Caenorhabditis elegans: one gene and its partner. The protein of the gene in region 2 purifies or fractionates together with the protein of the main gene of each other region. This does not show direct contact. Each region holds a gene or a part of one and is shown on either strand. Other genes may lie near its edges.

Region 1 (4,197 bases), on a different chromosome or scaffold from region 2:
GGTGAACATCTCCCAAATCGTTTTGTTCTTAAAATCACGTCTTGTATGCATGTTCTCAATGTTTTGGATCAAATGAATCTTCAAGATAAAAGTGAATCTGCTTTATGGTCAATTTTTGAATATGAAGCACAAGGTCTGCATAACCGAGAAGTGAATTTATACGAAATTATTGGAAAATGGAATATGGATGATGTACTTATGAGCCCTAAAGTTTTCTTTTCGAAGAAATTTGATTCTGAAAATTTGACGAAAGGATTTTTTGCAATGGAATATGTCGATAATGCAATCACAAGACATCTGTATATAAACTTAAAATCATACGAACTTCATTCGGTAACATATATATGCACATTTATTTTACAATTCGTTAGTGGACTTTTTTAGATATTAAAATCTCTTGCCGTTTTCCAAGCTGAAAGTCTTAAGTTGAACAAAAGAGAGCAAGAAAGTGTTACTGGATATGACTTGGAAAAGATTGTTGGAAAAATGTTTAGCCAGAATGGGCTCAACAGTATTTTTGAACAAGTCCGCCAGATTAACAAGGAAGAACTATCTGAAGCTGCAGATAAAATTGCAGTGTTTGGCGTTGAGCTGGTTAATTTTGATTTGGTGAAGAACTTGAACAATTATTTAGGTCAGCAGAAAATATGTTGATCATGGCGAATAAAAATGTTTTAGGAATCAAGAAAAATGTTTTGGTGCATGGTGATTTGTGGTCAGCTAATATAATGTGGAAAGAGAACAAAGACGAATTCCGTGTCGACAAAATTATTGATTATCAGGTATCTACAATAAATAACTCAATAATAGGTAGCTAGGCGTCGATTCTAACAAAAACTACAATTTTCTCATTCCCAAAACTCTTGTTCAACTGCGAATATTTCAAAACTACTCTGAACCTCAAAATCAAAAACATTGTAACCGTTGAACATCTTCCAGTCGATTCATTTGGGAAATCCAGCCGAAGATCTTGTGCGCCTGTTCATTTCTACACTCTCCGGTTCCGAGAGACAAAAATATTGGGAAAAGCTTCTAGAGCAATTTTACGAATATTTCATAGAAGCTCTTGAAGACAAAAATGTTCCATATACTCTTGAGCAGGTATATTTTAACTGATATTGAAACATTACATTTGATGTTATTTTTTTCAGCTAAAAGAATCATATCGTTTGTACTTTGTGACCGGAAGTCTTCTCATGTTACCGATGTTTGGTCCCATTGCTGAGGTAATTTCAAATTATTTTAAATAGAAATATTTGGTTTCCAGGTTAAACTCGCTGAAATGTCAGATCCAGATGAAGTTAAAAAATACCGAGAGATTTTGACCGAGAAAACAAAACGTCTTCTAAATGACATGGAACATCGGCACTTGTACACTAGAGAAATCATCAAAAAGTGGAAATAGGACGATTTCAAAAATTAATTCTTTGAATACGCTTGTTTGCAAAGTTTACACGTGATGTGTTATCACCAGTTCGCAGTTTAATAAATCTAGAAATACCGAATGTTGAGCATAAAAAATGTGTACCTTATCTATTGTGCAGGTGTGGTAAGTTCATGTGATACATGGCCTTCTGACATTGAAAAAAAAATTGAGATATTCATTAAGTACAGTTTCATAAATTAAATCTAATTAAAACGACGTTCTTGAGCTTGAACGGTTTGAAAACATAAAAAAAAACCTTTAAAAATTATAAAAAATAGATGTTTATTGAAAGTTAAAATTTTAAAGTCAAATGGTAGTTTATTACTAAAAAAATAATTATACAAAAGCTCAATAAGACTATCGGGGATGTCATTTAATTAAAGAATGCGGTGGTATGCTTACAATTAGGAAATACTTTTTCAACTTGTGACTTGAATTCAGCGTATGAACCGAATGGTATGATAACGTTGATAGCAGAGACCACACTGAACTCATCATTGGTATAAAAAGCAACTGCTTCTTGTCTCTTAAATTTACTTTCTTCCTGCGACTAAGAAGAATGAGTGAATCTAAAACTCTTATCCAAAATGGAGATGGTTTATTTCAAACCCATGTTCAGCTGGAAGATGTTCAAGAATTGATTAGAGATCAAATGAATACTGAAGCAAGACTTGGAGAGAAGACAAAATATACTGTTGTTGGAGATGGAAATGTAAGTTCAAACTATTAAAATATTCACAAGACGTTTATTTCAGGGATTTATGAGTCGTGTGATTTTGGTTGAGCCTGAGTGGACTATCACAGATGAGAATCTCCCGAAGAAATTTATTCTGAAAATCACATCATGTCTCCATGTCGTTGGTCTTCTTGAAAAACTAAAAGAAAGCGAACAGAACGTGATAAATGATGCAAATGAAGCTGATTTGATGGCCCTATTTGAGAATGAATCACGACTTTTTCATAACAGAGAAGTTAATTTGTATAAAATTACGAAGAAATGGAATAAGAATGATGAGTTGTTAAGTCCAAAGATTTATTTTTACAAAAAGTTTGATTCTGAGAACCAAACAAAAGGAATATTGGGCATGGAAGCTGTTGATGATGTAACTGTAAGACATCTCTATTACAATGTAAAACCATTTGAGCTGCACTCTGTAAGTTTTAAATCAGATTATCAAGTAAAACTCAATTTATTTACAGGTATTAAAATCGATTGCCAGACTTCAAGCGGAAAGTCTTCATTTGACTGATCAGGAAAAACAAAGTATTGCTGGATTTGATTTGAAGAAGATGTCAAACACAATATTCAGTGAAGAAGGCATGCAAAATAATTTTAAGCAGACTCGTGAAATCAATCCGGAACGATTAAAAGAAAGCGTCGACAAAGTTGAGATTTATGGAACTGAGCTCGTAGATTTGGATAAAGCTATTAACCTAAACAGTTACATTGGTGAGTTTTCTTTCACAAATTTGGATATATTTTACCTATCAGTGAAAACTATTGAGAGATAAGATCTTTATGTCAGGTATCGAACGTGATGTCTTGGTGCACGGAGATCTGTGGTCAGCGAATATTCTATGGGAAGAGAATGAGGGAAAATTTTTAGTAAGCAAAGTTATAGATTACCAGGTAAGTCCCCAAAAAGTTGTGTTTTTTATCTCTGTAATATTGCAGCTCATTCACATGGGAAACCCAGCTGAAGATTTGGTAAGACTTCTTCTTTGTACACTTTCTGGAGCAGATCGTCAAGCACACTGGGAAAGGCTTTTGGAGCAATTCTACGAGTATTTCTTGGAAGCTCTTCAGGACAACGAGACGCCATATTCACTGGAGCAAGTAAATGTTTTGTAGTTCATGGTATTTGAACAATGTTCTAGTTTTAGTTAAAAGAATCCTACCGTCAATATTTTGTTACTGCTGGTCTCTTTATGTTGCCCATGTTTGGACCGATTGCACAGGTATTGTCTGTAACGTATATGAGAAAGTTAATTGATTTCAGATGAAACTTTCTTATTCATCCGACAACGAACACGCAGAAGAGTATCGTGAAGTTCTCACAGAAAAAGCTGAACGGCTAATGGAAGATTTGGAACGTTGGCACTTGCACAGTAAAAACTTTAAGCAAATCTAAAATAGAAGTGTAAATGAAATTTCTATGTAAATATTATATAAGTTGAGCCAAATAAACCGTTTGTTGTAAATAATATTTACAAGATATACAGATGTATAAAAAATAATAATGGCAGGTAAATTTACAAACCAAAAACGAATAGTTGTATTAATAAGTTCCAATAAGGCGCAATAAATATTCTAGCTATTAACACTCCGGCAGTATTATTTTAAATATCTATTTTTCTTTAGACATAGCCTAAATCAAATAATTCGCCTCAAATATCCAAATATCAATTAGTTACACAAAAGATAGAAAACTTATTTGACCAAATAGCGTTGTTTTTAGAAATAGAAAAAAAATAATAATGTTTTGTAAATCCACATCTAACTCAGATAAAATTTAGTTAACTTCCCCGAAAACTTTATTGCACATTATAGGGGTCCAATATTCAATAAATTTAGAAAAACAACTATTTTAATAAACTGTACCAAAGTTCATAGCAATGCATTGAAAATCAAGGGAAAAATATAAAATAACGGAAAAAAGTAAACTCTAGTATTGCACAACTTTTTGTAATTTCACATAATGTGGTTTGTGTTGACGATCAATCGTGCGTAATCTATGAAATTGCGTCACTAAGTAAGTAAAGAAAAACAA
Region 2 (3,924 bases):
CAAATAGCACAGGTAACATTAATTGAAGTAACGTTCAAATGTTCAACTTAAACTCTTGAAACCCCCAGGGGCGGGGCGTGGGGGGCCTCCTTCCTATGATTCATCAATCTAGGTAACACTTGCATTCATGCAAATCGTCTCTTGTTGCTTTGGGAAAAGATGCCATCTGTTCATGTAAATCGTGTCCTGGGTTCGAATCCGGTCCGGGGAAAAACAAAAATTATGAAATAAAAAGTTATGAAATAATGTTATGAAATTAATAATAATCATTTGAATTATTACAGAAACCCAATTTCGAAAATAGTTTCGAAAAAAGCTCTGTCTGACTTTCTCTAAATCTCTCGAAAACGCACGCTATTTCAAAAATCGACAATCAAATCACAAAAATCCTGGTTAAAAAACTGTCCCCTGGTTGAGAGGACCAAGAACACCCCAAAAAATCGATAGTTTCTTACTATAACCAAGTCTCTCACTCTCTCGTCTTTCTCTGAATCTCTCGATTCACACACTATTCGTGACCGTCTGCGGTCAAAAATCCTCGGGGTGGTGAAAAAGCCACTCTATCACTACTTTCGGGTTATTGTTGCCACTGGAATATCAATTGGTTTGATGCATACATTAATATCCTGTGATTCGATTGTATAATATTCTGAAATCTAGTAATTTATTCTTAGCTTCAAATGCAATAATAGCTACCTTCATCACAACAATCTTTTGTTTTGTTTAGCAAATCCTCTGCTGCTGTTATACATGCTATTGCGTTGTTCCTTTTCTTTGCCTCAGTTGCTTTACGAACATATTCAGTTAACTTTTGGTGAGATCTTAACAGCGGAGGTAATGCACTATCATTTTCATCCAAAATTGACTTTGCCACTTCCTTTAATTTGACGAGTGCCTCCTTTTCACGTTCATTAACCATTTCACGAATTCTGGAGTAAAAAGTAGTTATCTGAAAAAATGTAATACACATTTCAATCGCGTTTTCATAAACACCTAACCTCATTTGCTTTTTGTTGGTAATTATTTCCACCTTCGCGAAACGCAATTTGTGACATCCTGAGCTTTCGAACATCTTGATCAATCTCGCCTATTGTCTTATTCAAGCGATTTATCCTCCCCTGAAGCAATTCGCGTGATTTTTCCATTTCCGCAATCAACGATTTTTTCGTATGATGCAAATGAGATAGAGTCGATACACATTTGCGGCACATGTATTTTCCCGATTCGGAACAATCCTCTTCCTTCAAATAACTAACACTTTAAGCTCGTAAGGATCAATGAGAAAGTTCTTTGAAAAGCAATTTAAAATTTAATTTCCACAAGTGAGTGGAAAAAAAAAAATTTAATAAAGTGACCTACCACGCATACGGTTTCCACCAAGTAATCAGGGTGATGTTTGCACTTTTCCAACATTGGCTCCTCTACTTCCTGAAAAAGTCCAATGTGCTTGAATCAATGAAAAAACTTATTATCTTTATTTACTGTTATCTTAGTGGTTTTTGCGAATAGTTGAATCGCTTGAATCAATGCAAAGTTCTTGTGCAAACTTTCCATCTTGTTTCCCGGCATATCGGTTGGCTCGCGACAAAATGGGCATACAATTTTGCTATTACCTAACATTTTTTTGATGCAACCTTCACATAACGTGTGTGAACACTCTGAAATTTTAACTTTACAAAGACCACGCAAAAAATCACTCACTTAGATTTCGCGGAGAGTGATCTCCATCTTCGCTTGAATAGTCGTCATTACAGATTTCACATTTTGGCATTGACATTTTCAGTTTTGAATTGGTGTGGTTAAGAATGGTGACAGTTACCACTGAAAAACCATTAAATATGCAATTTCTTCCTCATTCTTAGATATAAATGTCATATTTATGAGGCAGTCCTGTTTCAATGCACCTTTCAAGTAATACTCTAAGAAATTGCTCAAAATCTATTGAGATGAATAGCAAACCTCCTGAACTCACGGGATCATTCATATAATTTTGCGAAAAATTTTGATCTACACTTTATCACGCCCTAGTTCAATTCAAAAAATTATGTGGCTTTAATTAAAAATGAGAAGTATTAGGAATTGTTGGTTTTTTGACATTCTTGCTAAGGACGAGCGGGCTGACATAAAACTCTGTCAACAGCTTGACTTTATGGAGCTTGCCAGAAATGTGACCTTCTCTCTGTTTTCTCTTCATTTACATAAATTATTTGATTTTGGACTTTGATTTTGAATGTTTGGAAAAAAGATCAACCAAAACTGCTTGAAAGTTTTGATTTCACCAAAAAGCGCTCGAAAAAATAGAAAAAAAAACGATTGAAGTTGAAATCGATAAAGTTATTTCTCACTGTTAGATAACAATGTAGCGAGCAAACTCTCGTTTTAGATGAAACTAAAACGACAGGAATTCTTATCGCACAGTTTCAACCTAAACTAATTTTTCGATGATTATTTGCAAATGTTGAATTTCCATGCTCAAATTTGATAGTTGGTAGGTTTGCAATCAGATCCTTTGAGTCAGATGGCGAATGCTCTGAAAATGTTTCACGAAATGAATAAAAAATAATGTACACTCAAAAGACACACTAACTTCCAATATCTGAACTATAGCACCATTCCGGAATTTCCAGTTCAATACCAGCTCCATACAAAACACCATCGTTCATATCTATACAGTGCGTGCAACTTCTATAGCGCCCCCTATTTTATCGCGTTTCACGCCATTCTGATTTTTTTCTTGAAAAACTGACAATGCCATTCGATTTCAAATGTCAAAAAACCCCTTGTCCAAAATTTTCAAGAAAAAATAACAAAATTTGATGTGACTAGGTCAAAAAATCGTAAAAACGGCCGTGCAACTTCTATAGCGCCCCTTCTGAATTTTGATATTTTTTCCAACAAAACCACATTTTTTGACATTTCTAGACACAGCAAGATAACAAAACGGAGTCAATTTGATTCAGATATCATAGTGATCAATTCTCGGCAGAAATATTATACGTGGAGATTCTTAGGATCCCGCAATTGTCCTGAAACGCTCCATTTTGCGTCAGAGGCCCATTCTCGGTGGGATCGAGTCCAAAACTGACCAAGATGTTTTGAGACACTCATGGATACATGTTTGAAAGATTTTTTACAAATCGACGGAGTTTTAGGTTGTATGAAACTTGTACCAGATTGCACTATTTGTCCTTCTTTGTCCAGAAGTGGAATTAAATCAATTAAAACATCATAATTTGTTAACTGGATGAAGGATCAATACGTCGTGGGACCTCCCTTCTTAACGATAACCTCAAAAAACCTATTCGACATTGAGTTGACCAGATTCTTTATTTTGCTGGCTGGTATTTCTCTCCAAGCATCCTCAATACCAAGTTTCAGTGCAGCCACATTTGGATATTGTTTTCCATGACTAGCGGGCCCTGCGGGCCCGCCAGTTGTAGGGGTGTAGGGCGAGTCCCCTAACCGGGCGTAGGTTCTCGGCTTCGCCTCGAACCTGTTAGAGGGTTCGTGAAAATTTCAGTAGGTCAATGGGAGTCTTCTTGATTTTTGAGTTCGGTTTGACCAAAAACAGATGCACCCGATGAATCAGTTAAAGCTGAGTTTTGATTGATTGAAGTTTGAGGAGGCTTTATATTAGGGGAGACGTACCCATATTTTGTATAAAATCGAGTATTTCTATTTGAATCCCGACTACTCACAAAAAACAAAAAAAAAATTGGCACTTGGTAGAATTGAACCAACTACCAAAATTTCTGCAGGCATACGCACTAACCATACTAAAAATCTCTAGTTTTCGAGTTTCAGTTTCGAATGCCTTTTTTTTCTACAAATTTTTATTGCACAACAAAAAACACCAGCTCAAAGGAACAAATTTCGAAATGAAACTTCTCAAAAGTTTTTCAGAAATATTTTATGACGGTTCAA

What was found.
Region 1: the proteins of K09F6.7 (region 2) and T16G1.4 fractionate together in Caenorhabditis elegans (co-fractionation; one large-scale study listed by BioGRID). This does not show direct contact.

What each region holds. Positions count from the first base shown.
Region 1 is NC_003283.11:12,939,573-12,943,769, reverse strand, and holds T16G1.4 (CHK kinase-like domain-containing protein), read left to right. Parts: upstream 1-1,922; 5' UTR 1,923-1,985; coding exon 1,986-2,138; intron 2,139-2,181; coding exon 2,182-2,580; intron 2,581-2,626; coding exon 2,627-2,876; intron 2,877-2,952; coding exon 2,953-3,056; intron 3,057-3,101; coding exon 3,102-3,263; intron 3,264-3,310; coding exon 3,311-3,385; intron 3,386-3,426; coding exon 3,427-3,558; 3' UTR 3,559-3,629; downstream 3,630-4,197. Other genes in the region: T16G1.3 (CHK kinase-like domain-containing protein), read left to right, coding at 1-333, 385-634, 679-782, 940-1,101, 1,152-1,226, 1,268-1,405.
Region 2 is NC_003280.10:2,290,351-2,294,274, forward strand, and holds K09F6.7 (RING-type domain-containing protein), read right to left. Parts: upstream 1,778-3,924; coding exon 1,702-1,777; intron 1,659-1,701; coding exon 1,483-1,658; intron 1,429-1,482; coding exon 1,360-1,428; intron 1,242-1,359; coding exon 999-1,241; intron 950-998; coding exon 697-949; intron 650-696; coding exon 567-649; downstream 1-566.